2 linked regions of the Stegostoma tigrinum genome follow. The protein of the gene in region 1 interacts with the protein of each later gene in a pairwise test. Links are inferred from orthologs where the notes say so. Each region holds a gene or a part of one and is shown on either strand. Other genes may lie near its edges.

What was found. The genes of interacting proteins can lie anywhere in the genome.
Region 2: the proteins of esrrga (region 1) and pnrc2 interact in binary tests that used the Homo sapiens proteins (3 or more experiments, as listed by UniProt). The link is inferred for Stegostoma tigrinum from reciprocal best matches to the Homo sapiens genes ESRRG and PNRC2.

The regions. Positions count from the first base shown.
Region 1 is NC_081362.1:58,971,944-58,979,489, reverse strand, and holds the start of esrrga (estrogen-related receptor gamma a), read left to right. Parts: upstream 1-4,328; 5' UTR 4,329-4,515; coding exon 4,516-4,571; intron 4,572-7,546. UniProt on the Homo sapiens protein: Orphan receptor that acts as a transcription activator in the absence of bound ligand. Binds specifically to an estrogen response element and activates reporter genes controlled by estrogen response elements.
Region 2 is NC_081377.1:44,979,773-44,987,413, forward strand, and holds the start of pnrc2 (proline-rich nuclear receptor coactivator 2), read right to left. Parts: upstream 3,277-7,641; 5' UTR 2,871-3,276; intron 2,378-2,870; 5' UTR 2,166-2,377; intron 1,167-2,165; 5' UTR 1,145-1,166; coding exon 704-1,144; 3' UTR 1-703. UniProt on the Homo sapiens protein: Involved in nonsense-mediated mRNA decay (NMD) by acting as a bridge between the mRNA decapping complex and the NMD machinery. May act by targeting the NMD machinery to the P-body and recruiting the decapping machinery to aberrant mRNAs.

The sequences.
Region 1 (7,546 bases):
GGTTTAAATGGGGTGAACATTTTGAATCTATTTCCCTGAATATACTCATCGCTTGATTTAGTGTTGAAGTTTTTAATAGCATCAAAAGCAGACCACCCACAGGCCAAGAAGATCTATTAACATATCAAAATAGTAGGGTGCCTGAGACCTGCTACCTTCTCTTCAATGTGACAATTGAATTGTCTGATCACATGGAGATTATTTTATCTGTTGTTCTTATGAATTGGGCAACAATGTGCATTTCTGGAGCAAACTCTATAACTGCATGTAGCCTTTCTTTAATTTCCTCTTCTTTCTGAAAGTAAATGCATGTTGGCAAAGCCTGTAGTTGCAGATTAAGAGCATTGTGGATATTCATTGTGCTTTCTGGAAGGAAGCATAGAGTCATCACTGCCCTCTATTGTCAAAAATGGAATAGCCAGATATTTTAACGACCAGTGTTGAAGCTACTGATCAGTTAAATAACACATTCCTGAAATGTCTTCTGCTACTGCTGATATGAAATAAAACTATACCCAGACCTTCTTGGTCAAAATAACTGGCACGACTGTTTATTGTAGGAAACATGGGATAATTAAATAAGAATTACTTGAAAGTGATTATTAAAAAGATTTATAACTTCTTAAATGGTGCTATAAATACAGAAACATTCTGATTAAAATATTGGGATTGCAAAGTAGATGTCAATGTAAAATTCAAGGCGATGCAAAAAATCCATCTGAAGATTGTTTTGGGTACATTCTGTAGTCAGTAGAAACATTCCTCTGAGCCAGTGATTACAAAACATTCAGCAAGCACTTTTGAAAAGCATGGTTTTAGACATCAGGTCAATATTGTTTGCGTTTTAGTTCGTTTCCTACACCTAAATACTTACAACTCCTGCTGATGAGGATGGCAGTAAGAAATTGTTCAAAATAAAGTCTGCCTTCCAATGTTAAAATGTATGTAAAGACAAAAGGTAAGGAACAAAATGATGCAAATACACAGTAAAACTCAATTTATCACCTGGCAGCCAAAGGTACCTCAATTCTTATTAATTGTTTGATTTGCGTTGACCTGTATAATTTGTGTTTATGATCCTCGTCTTCTCACATACTTTTAAGGGCATGTTAATAGGACACCTATAAGGAATGCATTTGGATTATTTCTAGCATTGACAAGCTGATTGGTTGATATTTTCCTCGTCCGTTTTTCAGTAATAAAAGAAATTGACCTATTATAAGTTTCACTAAATGTAATTCAGTACTTCAAGGTCCTTATTGATTCACTATTACTTCATTGCAGTATTCTAGTTTACAATATTAGCTTGTTAAGACAGTACTCTTCAAAATTGTTTTGAACATTTTTGCATTTATGGTTCACATAAGAAGACACCTGTGACTATTGTAAACCTTACAGCATGGCAAAAATAACCAGAATTAAAAGGGCAAAGCAAAGCACAATACTTATATCCATTTGAGCATAAGTTTTTAAATTGGGTGATTAGTGCATTTTAATGCTACGCTCCATATTAGATTTTTGAATTTACAGATCATTAGTGCATAAAGAGTACTGCATGAAGTTAATATTTTAAAGTGGCACCAGTACTTTATGGGTTAACATAGTTGTGCTGAGACGTGGATTGGTCATTAATAGAGCAGTTGATATTAATCTGAATTAATTTAGAAATTAATATTCTGATTTTGTGAGTGTGGTACCATTTTCATGCAATTTGTGATCTACTTCCCACAATTAATGAGTGTTCTGCCTGGTTGGATGTAAGAATTAGACAAATGTGAAATACTAATATTAATTGGAACAAATATACCAGCAAATGCCACCACTTTCCTTATAGAAATGTCATTTTGTTTGGGAGGGTGGAAATTTTCTGTTGATACTTTTATCAGTGCGTCAGAAAGATATGCAGCATGGTTCAGTAATAGTTTTTAGGGTGCCCTTTTCTGTTAGTGCACGTATTGCTAAGATTCTTTGTGAACCCTGTCTCCATAAAAGTGAGGCATTTTTACATGGTAGACATTGTGTGGTCATTAGACTACTTACATTGTCGTTCCATTGAACAATGACATGTTTACACTGGCTTTATGAAGAAATGTATTCTGTATATGAATACACAGCAGATTGCTTATGCTTGCTTCTGTGCTTATTGCCAAACATTGGGTTAATGTAAAGCTTGTGTTCAGAAAGGATGCAGAATTCTCACGTTAACAAGTACAAAGTGGCTGGGTCTGTGCCGAAGCAGATTCTGCAGGTTCTGTTTGTACACACTGGCCAGTTGACACAGTCCCACCAAAAAGCTGAATTCGACACAAATAAATATGAAATGTGTCGAGGTGGTCAATACCACATGATCCAGGCCATTGCACATGATAACATTTCTTCTAAGCAGCACATCAGAGATGAAGTAGATTGTTGGTATGTACTGTCAGGACAGCATATAACAATATCAAAGTCTGGTCATGTGCAATTGATGGAGCTAGGTGCATGGTTGCTCCTCCTGTTTGTAATCAGAAAGGATGAAAAAAAGATGTTTTGTCATTATATATATACAACAGTTTTTTAAAGGGATATGTGGAAAATAGAATAAACATCACATTTCTATTTAAAATGTTCACTTGGGTGATTTGAAAGTCAAAGGAGCTTGTACAATCATGCGGTGTTTTATCTGAAGAGCTAGCTATAAATGTAGTGTGAGGAGAGTTTGTGTATCTTGGCTGTGAAAATCTGGGAAAAGGACCATACTTCAATTGCCTACAATGCCAGAAACTTCCAAATTGACCAGTGAATGCTGTTTTCAAATGGCATTTTTTAATGTGGATGATGATATTAAATCACAGTGTTTGGTTTGAATTTTGGATAAGTTGAATTTAAATTGTAAGATAAAAAGAAGTATGAAAATTAAAAACATAAAAAGTGCAGAAGTTTTGTTTCCAAATACATTTTCTGTTTCGTTAGACAAATCTGTGAATTATAACAACAGTTATTAGGGAGCAAGCATTTGGTCTATGATACATGGCAAATATATGTGGACAGTTCATTTCTAAAATCTGGATGCAATGAAATTGTATACTGATGAAATCTCAACTGAATGTGATCATTATCTATACAGTACTTGGAGAGAATTCTTCTTTGTTAAATATTTTTAACTTGCATTGAGTGATTAACAAACACTTTAGGAAACACTTGCAAAAAATGCAGTTGCCAGCATAATTGTGCCTGCAGAATGGTTAATTTGACATCAGAAGCAATTCTGAGGCAGCTTTGCTTTTGGACGGTAAAAAGGGTTTACATTGGGTTAACGGAATGCAGGGAGACAGCCAGCTGTTGGAGCTCGCATCACTTGAAGGAGACCCTGATTGGAGGAGCTGTATTTCAGAACAGTTCTTGCAATGGGTTTGACGCCGGTTAGCCTTTCTACAATTGCTTCAAGCCAGATTGTCGTATTGCTCTGTAGCAAGCAATTCATGTCAACACAGTAAAGATATTGGTGTTTGTACAGGGGAAGCATTTATCATCTTACTTTTAGTGAATCTTTAGTTTCAAGTTGGATAGGAAGGTGTGATTTTTCCCTAAATGTGATTCGTCAGTTTTCTTCTGAATTTGCGAGAAAGAAAAAAAATCACTTTGGGAAATTTTGAAAATATGTAAGTAATGTAGCTGGTTAATTTGTAAAACTATTAGCCAATGTAGACTGATAAATTTTGAAAAGGTAAAAATACAAGTGAGCCCTTTCAGAGCAGCTTTCAGATTATGGTGCATTTTGAATATAGATTTTAATCATTTAAGAAAAAGAGAGGACTGTGCTTGCCTATAAACAGCTTTGAGCAAAGCTATACAGTTATGATTTTTGGGAAAGACCGTTCAGCTTTAAATGAAGTTAAAAACCCTTTTGTCTATTTTACATGAAAGGATGCTAAAATGACTTGCAGTAATGCATTCTGTAAATTTACATCAAGACAGTTTTTCTACTGTACAAGGGTTTTGAAAATACAGATCAAATAATTGTGACAGATTTGTAGTAAAATATATTATGTTAGCACAGTCAATTCTATTTACTGTAACTTCTCAAAGAAGCAAATGGATAATTGTCCCTTCAAGCCTGTTTTGAAAACTGTATTTTCAGACGGATGGAAAACTGTGTTTTAAACGCTGCACTGTACAAGGCTGTGGAATTTTGCTTCCCTCCTCCCAGTTTAGAGACTTCCCGCCTACTGTACCTGCATTGCTTCCCTAAGCCAGTGTAGGAATTGTCCTGTCTGCAGTGCTTTACTCTGAGTGGCTGCAATCCCACCAATGCGCTGACTGGTGAGGTCGGGGATTGCATATGTAAAGACCTGCTTCATATTAATAAGCTACAATCGGGACTTTAAGACCTTGATTAGGAGAGTGCGAGTCTGGTCCCAGCTGGCTTTGCCTATAGGCTGTCACCAGAGAACATTTGTGTTAATTGCGCCACTCTGTCAGGGAACTTTGATTTATTGCCAGGAGTGTGGGCTCGAATAATGGTGCTGAGCGCACATGGATTTGGTAGAACTTTGTCTCCCTGAATCTTTTTCTCTCCACTACGACGAAGAGTAGGTACCTTTTTATTCCCATTCTGGGCTGTTTGTTTTGTAGGGTTGTAAGGGTTTGATGTATATGTGTATGTCCCTGTGTGTCTGTGCTGCTTGCTTGCATGTTTTGTGCCAGAATTATGTCCCACTCTGTCTGTGCAACGGATGTTCTCTGAATTATCTCCAGATTCCCAGAAGCAGTCTACTGTTATTGCATATTGTGCAGCTATTTGTAATTTAGCCAAAGATGTGAGAAAGCCAAAGGAATGGACGAGGGCTGTATTGTCAAATGCAATATGTATTTTCTGAATCTATTATACAGAAATTTTGAATGATTATTTTTAAGGAAGCAAGGACTTTAAAAATGCTTTCTTGATTTTTTTGGTCTAAAAGCTAATTTGTATGATTTTTAAAAAATATAATCTGCTTAATGTAGTTGCATTGGAATGAAATTCATTCACATGGTCTTTGTTTTTGAATCTAAGAAGGGATTTTTTAACTGTGACAGCTTGCAGCAAAAAAAAGGGGACGGGGAAAATAAGCTGTTCCTTGATCTCAGTTAGCTGACAACTTGTCTCAAGTTCTTTCACTTTTCATTGTATCATTCATCTCTTTAAATGATTGCCCCTGTTCAAGTCAGCAACAGGCTCGGTATAGGACGAACGTCACAAACCTGTATGAAAATACCTACACATCTTAACATTTCGGAGTTATGTTTCTGCTGTACGGCTGTTTTTGCATATTTGCACTGAGCTTTAAATATTGCAAGAGGTCAGAGATGCAGGATGTACATAATGACAACCTTGCATTTACAGCGAATACGGCTGTTTAGTGTGTTCATTTAAATGTATTTTCCGGCACTCTTTTGTTGTCAGAGCCTCCTATGCTACAGTAATTAACCTGCAGTAAAAAAAACCTTTGCAACTCCGGATTCCATTTCCTACCAAAGCTATTTTTAACAAGTCTTTATATTCACTAAACATTATAGACCTGCAGAAGGCTAGCTATAATATTTTAATTGCAAAGTCTGAGGAATAACAATATATTTTTGATCTGCTGAATGTGTCTCTGTGCCACTGTGGTTAAGCTCTCCAGAGGAAATAGCCGATTACACTGAAGCAGTTTGTGCAATATTATCTCTTTTACATTCACTCGCCTTGTATTAAATTGTCATTGTCCTAAACCAAGAGAGAAATGAATTGCAGCTTTCAATGCTGTCTGGCAGTGAAATATTTACCCCCTGTGTCCCCAATCATACTTCACGTGTGTTTGATAATGTGACTCCGACATGAACAATCTCACTGGCTTGATGCTCAGTTATTGCATCTTCCTTTGCTTCTCCTTCCCTGGACTTCAAGTGACACAAAAAGAAAGTTGATTCCTAATGGCTCTTTCTCTCACTACTGTGTTTATATTGAAATACCTGTTCATCCGTTATCAAGTGTCACATCAAGTACAAGCAAAATGTAAACTGATATAAGATACGTTAAAGGGTGGTACAGTGAGTCAGATTTAGCTGTTTTGTGACAAAATGGCATTTCCTTAAATGACCGCACAAGCTGTTGTGGCACGAGCAGGACGCAATGCTTTGTTGCGGTGGCCTCTTTACTGTACCCATATGGAGTGATGTAACTGGCTTCAGACTGTATTAGTCGGTAGAGCCTTACAGATCAGCACTGTCAGATTTTAACATTAGTATGAATGACACCTGTCCAATCAATCATGTGGTCACAGCTCCACAAATGGAGTGGGCCTTTGCCTACTTTAACATGCTGCTGAATCACAGAGTTCTCTTGGATTAATTTGTACTATTCTTTCTGGAAAACAAGAGGAAAGGCTCATTGCACACTTTAGGGCAGTTTGCAGACATAAAAGTGTGTATATGAGAGGGGGAGGAGGTTGGAGATAGCTGGCGCACTGGCAAGTGCTATAATTGGCTTTACTGTTAAACTAATCCCAGCAGGTTGCACAGATAAGACATTTCAGAACAACTATATGTCTAGCTTCACTTGAGGCTCAATGCCAGTGTTGTCCACTTGTCCAGTCTGTGAATTCTCATGCAGATAACTAAAACCGTGCCTTTGTACCTGAGTATTATTAAAGATCCATGTATTGTTTTGAGTTATTCTACTCACTCATATATTATACTTCGTCTAACTTGTAAATTACAATGTGTTTTTAACAAATAGTTTTGTACAAGATACAAACACAACATTTCAGGAGTTCAGAAGATAAATCTCAACTTGGTACATAATTTATGCTTATTTTAATCACGAAAGTCAAACAAGCCTTTACAGTTTTACTGGGCAAAGGCTGCAGCATTTATTAATTTGGTTACATACTCTTTGTGACACCTTATTATATCATGTTTAGACCTCAGATAACCCAGAAAATATCAAATGTATTAATTGTCCTGTTCAGCTACTCAGGAAAATGATGAGAGCGTTGAAATGTTGATACATTTTGAATAGGCACGGGCAATCAATTCTCGAGGCAGCTTGTTACCCAGTGTGAATAAAATACCAAGTTTTACATCAGTGAAACTCAATGATTCATACTTTGGATTTCAATTCAAACAGCAGTAAGCCATGCTGTGCCATCTCAGTGTTTGCATTTTTTTTTCCTCCTTGCAACAGTATTGGATAACTCAACTGAGGAGACATGCGTAAAATGACTACCTCTTTTCAAATTCGATTTAGTACAGCTATTTCATTTTCATTCAGTCTGCTTTAGGCAAGTATGCAATTCAGAGCGTTGGTTTTTTCAATTTGTTCCAGTAAGCATTTAAAATAATTCATTCCTAAGCTCCAAAGATTTGAGTTTTATATACCCAAAAAAGTTTCAAAACTACTTTAGATAGCCAAAGGCTGTTTTATTTAAAATGGGGTTTATTTATTAAGCCCCATTTCTGAAACATTTTTTATGTGTAAAAGCTTAAAAGTTGCAGTAATTTAATAATGCTTCAGTTGACTGCTGCTAAACTCTGGGATAGTCCC
Region 2 (7,641 bases), on another chromosome or scaffold:
CAATTTCAAGCAAGTTTTGTATTCCAGTATTATATTAAAAATGTGGTGACAGGTACAATGAATATTTGAAAAAGGTCTCATGTTAATCTGAGGAAATTTAAGCATTTACTTTTCACTACAGTGCACAAATTGCTTTTACCTCAGGCTCCTAACATATGGTAACATATCTACCACTGGCAGATGTAACTTCATGTTTTGACAAACATTCTTCATGGGTTATTGCATCATAACAATCATCCTTCATAAGGACAGGACCCATTTAATATCAGGAATTTCAAAAAAAGTAATAAAAACCAAACAAACATTCTTCTACAGCAGGAAGCTACATACACATCTTGCTAAATATGCCCAACTGTGGTTGGGCAAAAACAAGATGGCCAACAAAATTGCTGATTCAACACTTTGATAGGAGCAAAATCTTTAGATCTAAAGTCAGGAATATTCTTCAGTCAAAACATTGGAATTCCAATGTTTTGAGTTGAAATTTGTTTCCTATTCACAGAAAAAGGGCAGAACAGGAGGAGGAAACAAGCTTCCAGTACAACTGCTGGACACAAAACTGCGCCAATACACACCAAAAACAACCAACTTGGAAGGATATCAAAGGCAGTGCTTTCTTAAAAAAAACAAACACCAAAACTCCTGTATTATGTAGTCCAATTAGAAACTGTTTCCAGCAGTGGGGTCCTTTTAAGTCTACAGACTATGCCTGCACTTTTAGCATGGTCTTCAACTGAAAGGTCATTTCACTGTGATCAGATGACTCCAAGGGCACACGTACCCAATGGCTTGGAGGCTTGGGTAGTACACTTGGTGATGGTGGCTCACTGAACTTGGCTCCAGCATAATTTTGATCAGACTGCAACCTAAACAGTGTGCTCGAGCTGCTCAGAACTGCCTCCCAACTCTGATTGTTTGCAGTAAAGTGCATAACATTCTTTCCTTCTTTCTGCACAACCTGACATGTTTCAGAAATAAATTGATATCGTCCATGTCCCTTCTCGCCTTTCTTGTGCATTGTTTTCATGTGATAGAGATTATCATCCTTGTTCTTTTGTCTGCTGCTGTTTAAGTGCAGGTTTCTCTTTGGAGTCCCATGGTTTGGTTGGGATATTGGGATGTTTAATCTTTCGACACCTCCCATTTTTCTCCAAAGAAACTATCACCTGTAAAATTAGAAGAAAAATGGTCAATTCTAATTCCAACTCTTGAACGTGCACCAAAATGTTTAGAAATTAAAATGGGTACTTAAAAGGGTGAACCAATACCACAACATTTCAGTTTGGGGCCAGGCCTAACTTTTTTTGCATTTGTTAAAATAACTACTTGCAACAATGCGACTGCTTTTGGAGTACTAGCTGCAACAGCTATACGTTAACCACATGCTAGGACACTATCACTGCAGTTGCAAACAGTAAAAATAATGTCACTATGGTCACTTTTCAGAAAGCCTTTCCATTGTTTTACAAGAATTACTCCTTTAGTCACCCAGTGTTTAGATGCAACTAACAGAAACCTCTGGGTTTTAATGATTCAGCTGTAACTTTATTTAAAAAAAATTGTGTCCTTCCGGCTGACAACGCACGACCCGTGAAACAAGGTGAGGAAGACTTACAACCACTGGATTTGAGAGACAGTTAAAGGATGTAAAATGGATTAAAGATAATAAAATGTGAGGCTGGATGAACACAGCAGGCCAAGCAGCATCTCAGGAGCACAAAAACTGACGTTTCGGGCCTAGACCCTTCATCAGAGAGGATGAAAATGGATTAAAAACGTGTTTTGAAATACACTACCAAGTTCAGAGGAGTCCAACTGCAATTCTAAAGGTAAGATCGCCCAGCTACAAACGTTAATATTTCTGAAACACTGAATAGGAATATGAACGTGAACAAATTGAAGAAATACGATATTTCTCCCACGACATCCATATCCCGTGAAAGACCGAAGGCCACTAAGGAATGAACTGCGGATGTTGTAAAATGTAACTATCTTAACTGATTATTTTCCACTCTGATTTAACAGCTAGTCAAGCTCTAGAAAAGATTGCAACCAAGAATCGGAGTCAAGAGATTAATAACTTTTTAAAAGCAGGAACGTTTTTAAAAGTTTGTTCAGTCTTTGCCGACGTGCAGGAGTCTCTCTTTTCCCCCCAAGACACCAACCTCTTCGTCGAAAAATCCCAAAACTTGTCGATCTTCTCGTCCAAAGCTTTCTGGAAACTTCGACGCCAGGTTATAAGGAAATTCTCACTTTTGGTGAATCTTGGTGATTTTCCCCAAGTAGGAATTTGCATCAGCAGAACTCCGACAGAAGATGGTGCAGCCAAGCACAACATGGGTCTGCTCGGCACACACGGTTCCGTACAGTTCACACCCTTCAGAAGCAATAAGAAAGAAAGAGCTCAGAAAACAAAACACTGACCAAAAAGTAACAAAGTGGAGGAAATTTTCGACCAAGAATCCAATTTTAAAAACTACTGGTAAACTGTGTACAGTTTTAGACCTTCCCCTCCCCCTTTTTGCTACGGAATTTCCTGATCACGGGACTAGAAAACGGCCATTTAACAACATCAGCGCATTTTTTCCAAGCCTTCGGGGGGGTGGTAGGTATTTGAGCCCAACACAATTTGGTCTGAGCCCCTACTTGACAAGTTTCTAGGTACTACTCGCACTGAGGTAAGCCAGGCGGCAAGAAATTTTCCCCGATCGAGAGAAACAGGTCGGGAAGGAGGGGCAAGAGAGAGCGCAAACAAAAGACAGAGCCTAGTTTGGGGGAGGGGAGAGAGAAAGAAAGAAAGAGGATCATTAACAACAGCTCCCCCCACGCTGACCCTTCCAGGCTCGGACTCTCGCGTACTTGGTACTTACACAGGGCCCGGCGCTATCTAAATTGAAAATCCGCACACAGAACTACGTTCCCGGTCACTCTCTGCCCACAGCTGCTCCACCCCCTCGATGTAGCAGAAAATGGAATCCGGAGACAAGTAGCCGCCTGGCAGCCAATCAGAAATGCTTCAGCTCCGACTCGCTACACAATCCTGGCCAATCGGAGTGCAAATAACTACCAACGGATACTTCACCCTGACCAATCAGCTCTCGAGCCACTGATGGAGACACCGCAGTGGCCAATCCGTTTCTATGCCGCCCCACGGGCTGGAGCAGTAGCCGCTGACATTTCGGGTTTATGTTTGGTTTTTGTTATTGTCGCTGGTACCGTCAGGCTATTCCATGTGCCCTTTGATGTAGTTTGCTTCCTTTTCACCGTCCAAGATGGCTGCTCTCCTTATTGAACGAGTGTGGGCCCTTTTTTTAACGTTTAATCTCATTGGGTGGTTTAAAATTGGAACAGCATCTCATTAAATCGCCACCAATCAGCGGAAACCGCAAACGTTGAATACACGTTAGACGTGAGTTGCAAGACTGGAACATTCCCCCTGGTATTTACTGTCGCTTAGGAGGAAACTGAGCTTGCACCTTACAGTCGTTTTCATATCCTCAGCATAGCCCAGTACTACTGTAAAAGCAGAAATTGCTGGAAATGCTTAATAGGGTTGGCAGCATCTGTGAAGAAAAAAATTCCGAGTTCTCGTCTCGGTTCCGGTGACCATTCCTCGGAACACCGGACCCGCAATGTTAATTGATTTTTTTTTCACAGATGCTGCCAGACCTTTCCAACAATTTCTGTTTTTGTTCCAGTACCTATTGTTTGTTGCAGTGTACTATCGTGGTTGCGAAGTCAATTACTATCGCCGTAGTAAAAATTAGAATGTCCAAAAACAAGATACTTGCTAACGTTGTATCAGAGATAATGGGAACTGCAGATGCTGGAGAATCCAAGTTAATAAAGTGTGGAGCTGGATGTACACAGCAGGCAAAGCAGCATCCCAGGAGCACAAAAGCTGACGTTTCGGGCCTAGACCCTTCATCAGAGAGGGTCTAGGCCCGAAACGTCAGCTTTTGTGCTCCTGAGATGCTGCTTGGCCTGCTGTGTTCATCCAGCTCCACACTTTATTTACTCGCTAATGTTTATTCATTATATTGTTGCACAATTACACAAACAGTCTAATATTTGTTTCTCCATTGCATTGCGTTGTCGCTGTCCTTTTTTTTCCATTTTTAAAAGAACTGCCCAAATGCCACCCTAAATGCTGATCCAGTATTTAAAGATAATCAGTGCTCACTTCACTGATAATTTGTAACCAAAAATGTACAGACGCTTAGTTACACCGCACCTGCAGTATTGTGTACAGTTTTGGATCTCCTTACTCTCTCATTGGGGAGACCAAGCGGAGAGAACTATCAGTGGTGCAAGGTGGATATCTGACAGCGAAGGAAGGAATATAAAAGAAATATCTCTTTCAGACAGTAGGAACAGTCGATGCTGGAGTCTGAGATAACAGGGTGTGGAACTGGAGGAATACAGCGGGCCAAGCAGCATTAGAGGAGCAGGAAAGCTGTTGTTTCAGGTTTGGACCCTTAAGAAATGGGAGATGGGCCTCTGAAATAAATAGAGGTGCAGTGAAAGAAGGTGGATAGTGGAGCTGATAGGTGGGAGAGAAGACGGACAGGTCAAGGAGGTGGAGATGAAGCTAGTAAAGGTGAGTGTAGATGGGAAGTGGGGATGGGGTTGGTCAGTGAGGAGGGAGAAGCGGATAGGTGGGAGAGAAGATGGACAGATCAAGGAGGCGGGGATGGGGGGGTTAGTTTTGGGATGAGGTTGGGGGTGGGGAGATTTAGAAGCTCATAAAGTCCACATTGAGACCATTGGGTTGGAGGGTTCCAAGGCGGAATATGAGGTGCTGTTCCCCGAGTTTCCGGGTGGTACCCTTGAGACACTGGAGGAGGCCCAGGATGGACATGTCGTCCAAGGAGTGGGAGGAGGAGTTGAAGTCGTTCACGACTGGGAGGTGTTGTCGTATGTTGCGAACCAAGCATTGGTGCTCCACAAAGTGGTCGCCGAGCCTCTGCTTGGTCTCCCCGATGTACAGGAGGCCACTTTGGGAACAGTGGATACAATAGACCACATTAACGGATATGCAGGTGAACATCTGTTTCATGTGGAAGGTTTTTTTGGGGCCTGGGATGGAGGTAAGGGGGCAGGTATAGGGGCAGGTGTAGCACCTCCAAGCCCCACCACCCCTGGCACCCCCCACTAGCCCCACCACCCCGGCCCCATTATAAAGGATATGTTTTCCTCCCCATCCTTATCTGCCTTCTGGAGGGATCGCTCTCTCCGCATCTGTCCCCACTCCCCACCAGCCCCACCACCCCCAGCACCTTTCCCTGTAACCACAGGAAGTGCTACACCTGTCCCTACACCTTCCCCCTCAGCCCCATCTCAGGCCCCCAGAAAACCTTCCACATTAAACAGATGTTCACCAGCGTATCTGCTAATGTGGTCTATTGTATCCACTGTTCCCGATGTGGCCTCCTCTACATCGGGGAGACCAAGCGGAGGCTCGGAGACCGCTTTGTACAGCACCTATGCTTAGTTCGCGACAAACAACAACACCTCCCAGTTGCGAACCACTTCAACTCCCCTTCCCATTCCCCGGCCGACATGTCCATCCTGGGCCTCCTCCAGTGTCTGAATGATGCCACCGGTAAACTGGAGGAGCAGCACCTCATATTCCATCCTCAGTCTTTCATTCACTGGCTGAAAATTCACCTTTTCAGTCTCACTGATGCTAATTTCCCTTTCCCTTCCCACTGCGTATATCCAGAGAGATCAGCTGACAAAAGAAGTATGGGGAAGAATTTTCTGAAGAAGGGTCCAGGCCCGAAATGTCAGTTTTCCTGCTCCTTTGACGCTGCTTGGCCTGCTGTGTTCATTAAGCTCTGCACCTTCTTATCTCAGATTCTCCAGCATCTGCAGGTCCTGCTTTCTCTGAAGAAGAACAGTTGGTTGTTAGCAGTTTTATTTTCCATGCCCACAACAAAAGGGAGAGAAAGAGAGTTGGTTACTTTCTTTTTGCAGGTTAATTGTTTCTCCTGCACATACATACATGTGGCAAGAGTCTCTTGAACCAGTCAAGAGTTTATTACTGTGCTGGGCCCTCATAAACCCAACACAACTGGTGCCAATTGAGAAGCCATTCCAAAATTGTCCCTAGGCAGAGTTGCCTTGACATATAGATGGTGCCAATTTAGTTAGACCTTTGCCTCACCGCTCCACCAAAATAATATACTATATTACCCTCAACGTGTTACCAATTATTTTTGTTTCCTTGGTTTAAAGCAATGGGACCAGGAGTTGGCCATACAGCCCTTCGAGACTGCTCCAACATTCAATAAGATCAGTGGTCTAACTCTGTATACCTGCCTTCGCGGCCCATATCCCTGTATTATAGAATCCCTACTGTGTGGACACAAGCCGTTCAGCCCAAGAAGTCTGCATCGACTTTCCAAAGTGTATCCCATACTGACTCACCACTCTACCCTCTCACCCTGCATTTCCCATGGATAATGCATTCATTGCTGGACACTATGCGCGATTTAGCATGGCCAATCCACCTAACCTGCATATATTTGGACTCTTGGAGGAAACCCACGCTGACACAGGGAGAACGTGCAAACTCCATACAAACTGTCGCCCGAGGCTGGAATCGAACCCAGGCCCCTGGTGCCGCCATGCTATTTACTAAAAATTTGTCTATCTCAGATTTAAACTTAACAATTGAATTAGCATTGACCGCCATTTGAGAAAGAGTGCTTTCTGACATCTTTCCTGAATGGCCTGACCCTAATTTTTTGACTATGCCCCTTGGCTCTAGAATCTTCAACCAGTGGAAATAGTTTACCTTTATCTACTCTATCTTTCCCTGTTAATATCCTGAAGACCTCAACTAGATCACCCCTTCTAAATTCTAGACAATAAAGGCCTCATTTGTCTAAGCTCTACTCATAACTTAAATCCTATAGTCCAGGTCCTGTCCTTGTAAACCTACATTGAACTCCCTCCAGGGGCCAAACCTGATGCCCAGATCTGCTCACAGCACTCTGGATTGGGGTCTAACCAGGGTTTTATATAACTGCAGCATAACATCTACATGCCTATTGTCAAGCCTTTATGAATGAAGGCCATCATTCCATTAGTGTCTTGATTACCGTCTACATCTGGACAAGCCCCAGGCTCAGAGCCCAAGGGCTGCCTATTCCACTGCTGCCATCTTAGTATATTTGGAGAGAGCGAGAAACAGAGAATTCTGGGAAGATTTCTACCAATGCACGCATTATCTTTATAACAATCTGAGATGCAAACCATCAGGTTTAGGGGACTCATCAGTCTTGGGCCCCATTAGTTTCCCCAGTTCTTTTTCTTTTTCTTTTTCTTTTTTTTTCCTCCAGTGATAGTTGTTGTACTTACTTCCTCTTCTTCCTTTGCTCCTTGATTTTATTTAGTAATTTTGGAATACCATTAGTAACTTCTACTGTAAAAAAACTGTAGCAAAGTATGTATCCATCTCTGTTATTTCCTGGTTCCCACTTTTATTTCCTCAGTTTTGTTCTCTAAGTGACGTACATTCAATTTGACCTCGCTTCTTTTGTTTTGTGTATTTTAAAAGATCCACTCAATAGCTGTTGTACCAAGGTAGAACTTCATTCCAAAATTTCATAGCTTGATTTTTTTTAAGTTTGG